Linked DNA regions of Caenorhabditis elegans. The protein of the gene in region 2 purifies or fractionates together with the protein of the main gene of each other region. This does not show direct contact. Each region holds a gene or a part of one and is shown on either strand. Other genes may lie near its edges.

What was found.
Region 1: the proteins of F33C8.2 (region 2) and cku-70 fractionate together in Caenorhabditis elegans (co-fractionation; one large-scale study listed by BioGRID). This does not show direct contact.

What each region holds. Positions count from the first base shown.
Region 1 is NC_003281.10:11,152,857-11,157,849, reverse strand, and holds the start of cku-70 (Ku domain-containing protein), read right to left. Parts: upstream 3,024-4,993; coding exon 2,802-3,023; intron 2,749-2,801; coding exon 2,646-2,748; intron 1,242-2,645; coding exon of another isoform or gene 651-1,241; intron 1-650. Other genes in the region: Y47D3A.31 (BAR domain-containing protein), read left to right, coding at 651-1,241; pola-1 (DNA polymerase), read right to left, coding at 3,906-4,054.
Region 2 is NC_003284.9:14,719,666-14,727,362, forward strand, and holds F33C8.2 (DUF38 domain-containing protein), read left to right. Parts: upstream 1-1,732; coding exon 1,733-1,920; intron 1,921-2,708; coding exon 2,709-2,780; intron 2,781-2,827; coding exon 2,828-3,464; intron 3,465-5,779; coding exon 5,780-5,989; 3' UTR 5,990-6,975; downstream 6,976-7,697. Other genes in the region: tsp-8 (Tetraspanin), read right to left, coding at 7,017-7,160, 7,274-7,389, 7,547-7,697.

The DNA.
Region 1 (4,993 bases), on a different chromosome or scaffold from region 2:
ACTGCCGGCAAACCGGCAAATTGCCGGAATTGAACATTTCCGGCAAATTGCCGGAGTAGAAAATTTCCGGCAAATCGGCAAATTGCCGGAACTGAAAGTTTCGGCAAACCGGCAAATTGCCGAAATGGAATCTACAGCCAAATCGGAAAATTGTCGGAATTGAAAACTTCCGGCAAATCGGCAAATTGGCGGAATTGAAAATTTTTGGCAAACCAGCGAATTGCCGGAATAGAAAATTTCCGGCAAATCGGAAAATTTACGGAAAACCAGCAAATTGCCAGAATTAAAAACTTCCGGCAAACCGGCAAATGGGCGGAATTGAACATTTCCGGCAAATTGCCGGAGTAGAAAATTTCCGGCAAATCGGCAAATTGGCGGAAATGAAAATTTCCGGCATATCGACAAAACCGGCAAATTGCCGGAATTGCAAATTTCCGATAAACCGGCAAATCGCCGGAATTGAAACTTTTCTAACTTTTTCAAACTTGAACAAAACTCAAATATCAAATTTTTTTCCGTGAAAATCCCAAAATTCCACGTTGGAAATTTCAAAATTCCAACAGCAAAAAAAAAAAACGCCGCGGACAAAATTCAAAATTCAATTTATTCCTAAATTTCGACTCGGTGGTGTGTGCGTGAGTTGTTCAACAATGTTCAGTCGACTAAAGCAAAAAGTGAAAGAAAAGACGGGCAGAAGCAAGGCGACAGTGCTTCCCGCCGAAATCGACGAGGCGTTGATCTACTTCAAATCTCTGAAGCCCCGCGTCCAGGATCTCTACAAGCACATGGCAAATCTGAACGACGTGGCAAATTGGCAAGTGAAAGCCAACTTTTCAGGCCCACTGGAGAACTATGCTCTGCTCGGAGATCGTATCAACGTGCAACCGTTCATCAATTGTGTCGACACGCGGATGGAGGCAGAAGTCGAGTCGATGGATAAGGTGCTGGCGATTTGTGAGCGGTACAAGGCGTTCACACAGAACGAGAGTAAGCTTCACACAAATACAATTGCCAATTTGAATAAGACACGTCTCGATATGGATAGTGCTGCGAACAAGTACGCCAGCAACGACACTGACGTCAATCGGACTCGGTTTGATGATGCCACTCGTGAGTTTGAGGTGGCTTGTGATCGGATGCGTGAGTTGGCGATAAGTATTCAGACAATTGAGGAGACTCATTCCATGTGGCAAGATGAATTGATGCGGGAGATAAAGGCCGGAATGAGGAAACCGAATTGAGGTGGTGGTGGTGGTGGTGATGGATGAGAAATTGAAAATTGAAGAGATCTCACAAAAAAACCTTTTTTTTTTTTGAAAATAAATTAGGTTATTATGAAATATTGTTTTGCCAATTTTCTAGGCGGCGTGGCCTACACGATTTCAGGCCGCTCTTTATGAAAAGCTAAGTTCTGGCGTCGAAAATTGCCAATTTCTTGAAAAAAAAATACCGGAAATTGTTTTGTCGAAAGCAGTGGTGGACGGCAATTGCCGTTTGGCAAATTCGGCAAATTGTCGGAAATGCCGGTTTGCCGGAAACTTTAATTTCCGACAATGTGCCGGTTTGCCGAATTGTTGCCGGAAATTTTTTATTCCGGCAAGTTGCAGATTTACCGGAAACTAAATTCCGACAATTTGCCGATTTACCGAATTACCGTATATTTTCATTTATGGGAACTTGCCGGTTTGCCGTTTTGACGAGAACTTTCATTTCTGGCAATTTGCCGGTTTGCCGAATTGACGGAAATTTTCATTTCTGGCAACTTGCCGGTTTGCAGTTTTGCCGTAAATTTTCAATTCTGGCAATTTGCCGGTTTGCCGTGACGGAAATTTTCGTTTCCGGCAACTTGCCGGTTTGCCGAATTGCCGCAAATTTTAATTTCTAGCAACTTGCCGATTTGCCGGAAAATTTCATTTTCAGCAATTTGCCGGAAATTTTGATTTCTAGCAAGTTGCCGGTTTGCCGAATTGACGGATATTTTCATTTCTGGCAACTTGCCGGATTGCCGAGTTGACGGAAACTTTAATTTCCGACAATTTTCCGGTTTGCCGGAAATTTTCAATTCCGGCATTTTGCCGATTTGCCGGAAACTTTAATTTCCAACAATTTGCCGGTTTGCCGAATTGCCGGAAAATTTAATTTCCAGCAAGTTGCCGAATTGCCAAAAATGAAAGTTTCCGGCAACTTGCCGGTTTGCCGGAAACTTTCAATTCCGGCAATTTGGCAATTTGCCGTAAATTTTCAATCAATTCTGGCAATTTGCCAGAAACTTTTAATTCTGGCAATTTGCCAGAAATTGTCATGTCCGGCAATTTGGCAATTTGCCAGAAATTTTCAATTCCGACAATTTGTCTATTTGCCGGAAAAAAATCGTTCGAATTTTCAAAAAAGTGGTGATCTACCGAAATTCTGCCAAAAGTCAAAAGAACAATCAATTTTTTGCCAAAAAATTGCCAGATTGCGTATAATATTCTGAAATTGTAGATTTTACTCGAAATTTAACTGGAAATTGCCAATTTGTCGAGATTTTGAAAAATTAGAAGTTTGCCTAATTCACTGCGAAAATTGTGCCAAGTCGCCAAAAGACGACGAATGCCGAGAAAAAAAACCACGAAAATGTCAGAAATTGTCCGCGATTTCCGCACCTTCCTCCGCAATTTCCTTAATCTTATTCACTTCTTCCTGTCCAAGAACACCCATCGGCACAAGCAGAGTGCTATTTTCGAGTCCCTCGGTCTCCGAGTTTTTCTGTAATTAAAAAATTATTAAATTTTCAGAAATTCTTCAGAAAAAACTCGTACAGTACTAGTGACAATCACTCCGATATGATTGTTAAGGCTCCGCGAGCAGCAAACACGGACTATTTCGTCGAGAATGAGCTTCAGAGCAAGCTTGAACTCTGGCGGCTCACCGGCTTTCGACGTTTCGAACATTGCCGGATTTCCGTCAATTATGAAGAATGTGTACTTTTTATTGGCCGTTGAACCCTCGAAATCGTCATCCTCGAAGCGGGTTTCGTCCATCTGGAAAAAAATTGATTTTTTTCAAACTTTTCTCGAAAAAAAATTCAAATTTTGACTGAAAAAATCGAAAAATTAATTTTTTTTGAATTTAAAAATATTTATTAAAATATTTTTGTTCTCAAAAACTTTGAAATTTGACATTTTTCAAGTTTTGAAAATTTCGAAAGTTTTTTTTTTCAAATTTTTCGAGAAAAAAATATCATATTTTGTCGATTTACGGAGCTCGTGACTGAAAAATTAAAAAAAAAAAACTTCTCCTCGAGGAGTACACCAGCTGCGTAAATAGACACACGGTTTTTATGCATGTGTCGATTTACGACGGATTTTGAACTACACGTGGACAAGTTTGAGTTCAATTTTTTTGCAAAATCTCGACTTTTTTTTTGGCTAAAATTTCAGTTTCCGAAACATTATCCCTCGTAAATCGACAACCCCTGTGTCGATTTACGCAGCAGCCTTCGTGTACTCCTCGAGGAGAAGTGTTATTTTTTGCTCAAAAATTTTAATTTTACAATAAAATAAATTACTTTGCATAGAAAATTTGAAAATAGCGAAAATGTTCAAATTCTCCCCGTAAGTCGACACAAATACTATAATAAATTGAAATAATTTTTTCAGAGATGGAAAAACTCCAAAAATTCAGTGAAAAAAGGGAGAATTAACACAGGATTCGATTGTTTATCAGATATGATTTGAGTATTTTCGGGAATATTTTTTTGGGGAAAAATAAAGAATTTTTCACTGAAAATTAGGAGAAAATGGAAAAATGGAGGAGGAGGAAATGACTTGTGAAAAAAATTAGGAAATTAGAAATTTCGACATAAAAAAGACGGGAAAATCGCAAAACTGGGGGGAAATTTTCAAAAAAAAAAGAAAATAAATTCATTGAATTTTCATCATTGGCGCAAAAATATATGAAAGATCCACTCGATTATAGGCATTTTTCTCCAAATATTTCTCATTGATTCGATCAGCCAACATCATTGAATCGATTTTGCACCCATTATATTCGACACGGACTTTGGCGGCTTCTGGAAAAAAAAAACTTTTTTGAAGAAAAAATTGTACAAAATTTCCTGGAAATCGAACTTTTAATGCTAATTTTTAGTGAAAAATTGTAATTTTCAACGAAAAAAAAAACTCAGAAATCGGAGAAAAAATTTACTGAAAAAAAATTACGGATTTAAAATTATTTGAGCCAAGCTTTTCAAAGAATACGGTACCGGGTCTCGATACGACAAATTGTTGTTGAATGCGAAAAAGTGTGCGCCTTTAAAGAGTACTGTAGTTTCAAACGGATTTTTTTAATCGATTTTGCGCATAGAATTTCACACGATTTGTTAAAACTTAAGCGGTTTATTTCAGTTTTTTTGTTTAACGAAAAACTGAAAAAAATGGATGAAAATTTCTCAAATTTCATCCAATTTTTTTCAGTTTTTCGTTAAAAAATATGCTTTTTATTAGAAAAACTGAAATAAACCGCTTAAATTTTAACAAATCGTGTGAAAATCTATGCGCAAAATCGATAAAAAATTCCGTTTGAAACTACAGTACTCTTTAAAGGCGCACACCTTTTCGCATTCAACAACAATTTGTCGTGTCGAGACCCGGGCGCAAAAATCGTGAAATTTCGGGATTGAGTAATAAAATTATAAAAGCCGAATAATTTTATCTCCGTAATTTTTTTTTTGAAAAAAAAAAATGCTGAATAGCTGCTGAAATAGAAAATAAAATTTTTTAAGTAAACTTTTTCTCCGAACTCTGCGTTTTTTTTTTTGAAATTACAATTATTCACCAAAAGTTTACATTAAAAGTCCGATTTCCAAAAAAAAAATTGAAAGAAAATCACATTTTTTAAATCGAATTTTGAATGATTTTAACGCAAAAATAGTTAAAAATGTTCTCCTAATTCGGTTTGTTTCCATTATTTTCGAGATTTTCCGCTAATTCTCACGATTCTTGGCTGAATT
Region 2 (7,697 bases):
ATATTTCTCGACTTATTAGTGATAGCATAATTTTGAGATAACAATTGTTCAGATTCCAAAAACAGCTATGGCTGTTTCCTTTATCGATATGTGTTTGGAAATTTGAAAAAGCACAACCGTATTAGTATGACCGCTCCGTACACATAATCTAACTATGAATCAAACTGAATGGTTCCGATACACTTGAATATTTTGTCCTTCTTATTGAAACTACTACTTCATCCCTAACTTCCATTTGTAAAAATTTCTGAAGGATATCTTCTCGCCCGCTCGCACGTTTCTGTTTTCACATTATCCAATGTCTCTCAATTATTGTTATATTTTTTGTCTTTGGAATACGTTGCTTCCCCTTCTATCAGAGTGCCTCTCTGTCTTGTGACTCAAAAAGGCTCTCTGCAAACACACACACACACACACAGGTTGGCTATCCCCTACTTCCCACGAATGCAGTTGCTAGGCGATTTTTAGACAGGACGACGCCTTCCAAATATACTCACAACCTATTGTGTGAGTAAATCTCTTCATCACGACTCGGTTTCCAGAGCGTCGCGCAGCTGGGCACCGGGCTCTGTCTTCTTTGTCTATAAACCGTGGTCTCTTATCTGATGTGATATTTTCTCACAGTGAAAAATCAATCGGCATCAGTGGAGACTCTGCTTTGTGATTTCAAAATTCGACGCGTCTGACCGCCAACAAGCAGATGGGTGAAGATGTACTTCGTATGCAAATATTTGGAGTGGAAGAAAAAAGGAAAAAAAAAGAGTGTGTAAAAATTATAGGTGAAAAGTAGGCTCCAAGTTGCAATCAGCCATTGGGGGTAGTTGAACAGAAATGTACAAGAAGAAACCAACAAAGATGACAATTCAAGTATCTCATATCAATGCTTGGATGTATAAAAATTAGTTTTGGTAATTTTCCCAAAAAGCCTGAAAAGTATGAGTATCCTAATACCAGATTCAAAAAAGCGAAGGAGAACAACATGAGGTGCGATTGGATTCTACTAAACAGGGTATACAAGATTGGTTTGAAGAGTCATCTTAATTCTACAGAGAAGGTAACCAGCAAAACAAAATCTTCTTCCATTAAGTTTTCTATGATAAACAGTGTATTCGTAGATTCGCACTTCCACATAATCGTTGATAACATTGTCAAAATCATCCATAAACTGAGTGACGCCCACGCAGCTAGACAGGTCTGAGGAGAAAACTGATAATCATTTTCTGACACAAACCAACATTCTCCGGGTCCTTGTTTCTGAATATTGCCAATAAATCTGGAAAGTCACCACTATTACTTTCCTCTTTTGTTTGTATGTTTCGGATTAGCGGCTACAGGTCAGCCAATAAACTAATGCGACATGATGTACGCCTTTATTCCAATTACTTGTGGGAAAGTCTGCTGACAATAAATACACTTTTCACACATCCGAAAGTTGGCTGTTAGTATCTTACACTATTTTTTTCCGATTCATATCACATGCTCATTACAAATGTCTACCTATTATTATCTTTTTTCCAACATTGTAAGCCGTACTTCCCTCCCTTCTCTTACCAGTATCTACATTCGAAACACGATTGAACTAGTGCTGCGCACTCAGCTATCACTTCTTCTTCCCCACGCACATTGTTGCCAGGCAGTTTTGTGAGCTCTTGTTTCTTTTTTTGTTCTGCTCAAAAGCTTATCATTGACGTTTATGAGTAAATTTATGAATTTCAACTTTCAGGAAGTCAACATGGATAGAGAGAATACTGAGAAACTGTGTAGACGGTTCTCCATTCTTAATGAATTTCAAAATAAGCAGCCCGCTCAATATGCTTTTCAAAAACTCAAGAATGCGTTCCCAGATCTTCAAATTGAAGAAGTCGAATATTGGTACAAACAAGGAACCCGTGGATTCGAGGAGGTGTTTCGAAACACTTGGTATGGTATTTTTTGATTTTTATGAACTTTAGAAGTAGTTTTAGAACGCCAAACCGTGTGCTGCCATTTGGCATATGATAAAGGCTAAGGCATATGCTTTGGCTTAGACTTTAGCATAGGCGTAGGCTTAGGCTTAAACGTTTGCTTAGGCTTAAGCTCAGGCTTAGGCTCAGGCTTTGTCCTAGGCTTAGGCTTAGGCTTAAACTTCGGCTTAGGCTAAAGTTCAGCTTTGGCTTAGGCTTAGGCTCAAACATTGGCTTGGCGTCAGTGGCGAGCGCACGCTATGAAGGCTTAGGATTTTCCGGTTTTTTTTTTTGATTTTTGAGGCGGTTCCTGTTGGCCGATTAAGCTTAGGCTGAGGCTTAGGCTTAGGCTTAAGCTCAGGCTCAAGCTTAGTTTCTTCCCAAAAAAAGTTTCTTTCCGAAAGGGTTTGTTTACAAGGGGTCTCACCACAAACGGAAAGCAAAAATTAGCAAAACAAAGCGAAAATTTCGGAAACATTGAGGTTTACGCCAGAATTGTTTTCTGTGACGTCCCAGATAATGACGTTGAAGGTAATGACCAAGCTAGTGATGACATTTGTCTAGGAACTCATTTTTTTGCGTTCTGGGTCAGTTTCCAAATTATTTTTGCTTGTTTTTTTCATTACGTTTAATCATGAAAACGCTGAATTTTTAGTTGAGATGAATTACACTGTAATTGACACTTTTGTGCAACTTTGAAAAAAAAGGTAATTTAGATGTCCTAGTCTTCATCCTTCAAAATTTTGTAACCCAATTCATTTTCAGTCTCGACAGTAGCTCACTGTTCCCAGAACCGAAAGAACATCACATACACAGGAGAATGCCCGAAAATTTTAAGTAAGTGAATGACGATTCAGAACAACTTTATCTACATAAAATTTCAGTTATGTACTTCCACTAAAAATTGAGAAAATCAGTTTGTGTTTGGGTCGCAATTTCGTAGAAATCAATGTGAGCAGAGATGGAAGTTATGAAACAAAGGAATTTATGGCTTTTTATCATGTAGACGCCAAGAAATGCAAAATTCAAAAACAAGGAGAACCTTTCCAGAAATTATCTGCAAAAAATTACGTAGACGCGGCTTTGGACATCTTTCAAGAAATATGTGATGCACCAAAATTGGAAGTTAATGCTCTACGTGTTGAAGTAGCTGAACAGAATCTGCCAGAGACAACAAGATCCGCTTTCTTCGAGAAACTCCAAAAAATGCTCTGGGCCATGTATCCATTCAATTTGGAACTGAGACAATTGAAAATGGTGGAAATTGAAGAAAAGGAAATTATGTTGATTTTGCCATACATAGATCCAAACGAAGAATTTGAACTGTCTATCATTGTGAAAAAACATGAACGGAAGATGGATATGAGAAGAATTATGAACACTGTTCATTGGGGAAACAAATCTAGTCTAAAAACGAAAGGAGTTCTTATAACGTGCCCAATAACTCATTTCTATAATTGTGCAAAAGTTGATGCCACAGTTTTTGCTTTAACACCACAGGAAATTACAGATTATGTCAAGGTATGTTTATTTATTTTTTAAATACACCAGCCGTTCGCACGCGCTGAAGCGCGTGCTCCGACTGGCGTACTCAAAATTAAAATCAAATTCTGAAATTTCTAAGCATTTCACTGCAGATGGAACGTTTTTTTCCTTGTTTTCCGGAAGTTTTCGAGCAACATAAATATTATATACTTAATTTTAAGCAATTACAATTTTAAAACCTCAAGTTTCCTGGAACTTTTATGAGACTTTTTCAGGTCCTTTCCGAAAGTTTTTGGCGAGCGTTTTTGGAAATTATCTATAACAAATTCTGGTTTTTTTTTTAATTCTTAAAACTTCAGAATATTCTAGGAGTATCAAAACTTGAAAGATTCTAGCACTTCGCAGAAGTTTCTTGAATTTTTTCAGGGAATTGAACATTCCAGACTTTTCTCGAATTTTCTAGAAAATTCTGGAACATTCGAGAATTTTCCCGATTTTTCTAGAAAGTTCTGGAACATTCCAGAATTTTTTTTCAGAAATTTTGAATTCCCGCCAAAATTTTTCAAAGAAATTTTGAATTCCCGCCAAAATTTTTCACAGAAAATTTGAATTCCCGCCAAAATTTTTCACAGAAAATTTGAATTCCCGCCAAAATTTTTCACAGAAAACTTGAATTCCCGTTATAATTTTTCACAGAAAATTTGAATTCCCGCCAAAATTTTTCATAGAAATTTTGAATTCCCGCCAAAATTTTTCACAGAAATTTTGAATTCCCGCCAAAATTTTTCACAGAAAATTTGAATTCCCGCCAAAATTTTTCACAGAAATTTTGAATTCCCGCCAAAATTTTTCACAGAAATTTTGAATTCCCGCCAAAATTTTTCACAGAAAATTTGAATTCCCGCTAAAAATTTTCACAGAAATTTTGAATTCCCGCCAAAATTTTTCACAGAAAATTTGAATTCCCGCCAAAATTTTTCACAGAAAATTTGAATTTCCCACCAAAAAGTTTTTCTCAGTAAATTTGAATTTCCCGCCAAAAATTTTTCTCAGAAAATTTGAATTTCCCGCCAAAATTTTTTATCAGAAAATTTGAATTTCCCGCCAAAACTTATGGGTCTCGCCAAGATGGGTCTCACCACGAAGGGTCTCACCACGAAGGGTCTCACCACGAATTTTCTCGAATTTTCCAGAAGGTTCTGGAACATTCCAGCATTTTCTCAAGTTTTCCAGAAGGTTCTGGAACATTCCAGAATTTTCTCGAATTTTCCAGAAGGTTCTGGAACATTCCAGAATTTTCTCAAATTTTCCAGAAGGTTCTGGAACATTCCAGCATTTTCTCAAATTTTCCAGAAGGTTCTGGAGCATTCCGGAATTTTCTCAAAGTTTCCAATATCCGTTCAATAGACGAAAAGTCAATTTTTCCCAAACTACAGTAATCCTACAGTACTCCTACAGTACCTCTACAGTACAACTACAGTACCCCAACCATATCCCGACACTAACCCCAAAGCAATATCACTTCAAAAAACGAAAAGCCAATTTTTTTCAAAAATACAGTAATCCTACAGTACTCCTACAGTATTACTACAGTACTACTACAGTACCCCGACCATATCCCACCACTAACCTCAAACCAATATCACTTCAAAAGACAAAAAGTCAATTTTTCCAAAACTACAGTAACCCTACAGTAACCCTACAGTACCCCTACAGTACTACTACAGTATCCCGACCATATCCCACCACTAACCCCAACCCACAATCCCTTCAACAGCCGGAAACACCTTGCAGGTGTGACGTCACAGACTACAAACTACAATTGTAACATCCCTCATGTATTTTTTTATATATAAGTAATGATAATGAGGGGTGAATATCATAAGTGAGGATTAAGTCAAAATGCACTGACCAACACGACCCATTATAATTTTAAAAAAAACACTCCAAAAATGTTTAGAGTAGGGCTCCCAGCTGAGCGAGGCGCGAAATGGGGGCCTCACGCCGACGCCGTGCGCCGCTGTGTGTGTGCAATAAAGCGCGACAGGTATTTGTTAGGAGCGGCCGACACGTTCGGGGTGCCGCAGCTTGGCGTGAAACGAGAAGCTTGATGTGTGCGCAACGTAGTGCAAAAAAGAGTTATTTGGAAGCGGCCGGGGTTCCGCGTCGCACTATACATTTGGATACAGGCGACGTGAGTGACGCCGTGAGGCCGGCGCGGCGATCTTATGGCAACCTTGTTTGAAGCAGTAAAACTGAAAAAAAATTGAGAAGTTGCACCCTTTTGTCTTCAAATAAAAATCTCATCAAATGCTTCAATCTGTTTCTCATTAAATTACCTAACTATTCAGAAGTTGCTCTACATGGAGACTACTATAACCTCCATCAGTCAAGACTGGAAATCCAAAATCAAGTTTGAAGGGGACACAGCTCTACACATTTTGGAATCGAACAAGTTTTGCCAACGACTTAATTCAAATACATACAGATGCATGGCAAATGACCGATGTGTTTTTGTTACATTCTGCCACCAGGGCGTCAAAATTGCATCACGGCGCTAATAATTCTCATACAGCGCTTTATGGGACTCAGTTTCTATCAACATTTTTCCAGACTTTAATTCACCTTCTCTAACTTTTAAATTATGCGATTATTTCGTATTTTTGAAGCATTTTTTGGTTGTTTTGCTCTTTTGAATTATTTGAAATTTAGTCTTGCTCATTTTCAACTGCAAAACCAATAGTCTCTATGCTCTTCAAAAGTTTTGCACTGTGTTGCAATAATATATTGGAAAGCCATTGTTTCTTTATTTATAGAAGGAGGATTTTTGCAAAACTCAGAAACCAGAATGTAGTTTAATCTTAATCGCAAAAAAATTTAGTTAAATGTTTTTATTTTGAATTCAAAAATAATGAATAACACAGATTCGCTGAAAACTCTTTTGATTTTTTTAAACTATAAAATTTTTCATAACTTTTTTATTTTTGAATGGCTTTACACTAATTGAGAATTTATCATTTTTCGTTTCTGGTTATTTTCCAACCATCTAGTCAAAAAGTATTGGAAAACGCAGAATTTTCCACAAAAAAAACTATTGTGATGTTTGGAAGCAGGGTGCCAGAAAACCTATTATCCTAAGCTTTTCTGAGTTTATCATAAAATTTAAAACACCCGACTAATAACTCAAAAAAAAAGCTGCGCGTGTGTGCTATAAGACCCCTGAAAAACCGTAAAAAATGCAAAAAAAAACAAAAAACTCACTAATATATTTTGACAACAAACATTTTAATTTCAAACGAAAAAATCCTCTCCCCGATCTCAATCTTATCGACCTGAATAATTCGTACTCCTTCAATTGATTTTTTGATCAAGCTACTCCATTCACTACACTCCTTTCCTGAGAAGTCAATTATTGCAAATTCGACTTTAATTGTTTCACAAATATTTATCCAACCACTCTTCATCAACTCTACCCAATCTGAAAGAATTGTTGTTTGTCATTCGATTATTTATCTTTACAAATTCCAATAAATCAGAGAGAAAAACATTTATTATTCATTAAAAAACATCTATAAACAAAAAAGGCGTTTATTTTTTAGAATTGCCTTTGCAACAACATAAGGTCATAGATAACACAATTCCAAGGAGTTGAACAATGCAAAGAACCACACAAACTCCTACTATCAAGCTCAATGAGCTGCTCACGCTTTCGTACACGGCATCGGCGCATCCCTGTAAAAGTTTTGAACTTGATTGTATTTATTTGAAAGTTAGATTAACAAAACTAATTAATAAATCACTGAATATTTACATTGTTTTTATCAATATATTTTTGAAAATCTCACCCGTGTATTGATAAATTGAGCATAAGTGTTGAGCGGAGCTTGGCTGAATGATCTTCCACAGTTATTTGGGTAGGAAAGCTTTCCATGCTCATTACAGCAAGATGATGGGACTCGACCTGAAATATTGTGATTTTTTCGTAAAGTTAGCTAGCTACAAAATTTATATACTTTTTCGAATGTCTATGAAATCATTGTATGTAGGAAAACTTTTAAGATTATCTTACTCAGCTTTTTGCGTTTATTACCACGTCACATTCCCCTCTTTCAACTCACCATATCCAGTGCCTTTGTTCCCGCCGAACGCGCCAATTCCGTGCTCAATTCTGCCAGCATCTTCTTCGTTCACTTCTAATTGAGTGGATGGCTCGGCGTCCCATCTTGCGCTAAGCCAGTCCGTGTATGTTTTCACACCACAGCATTCGAA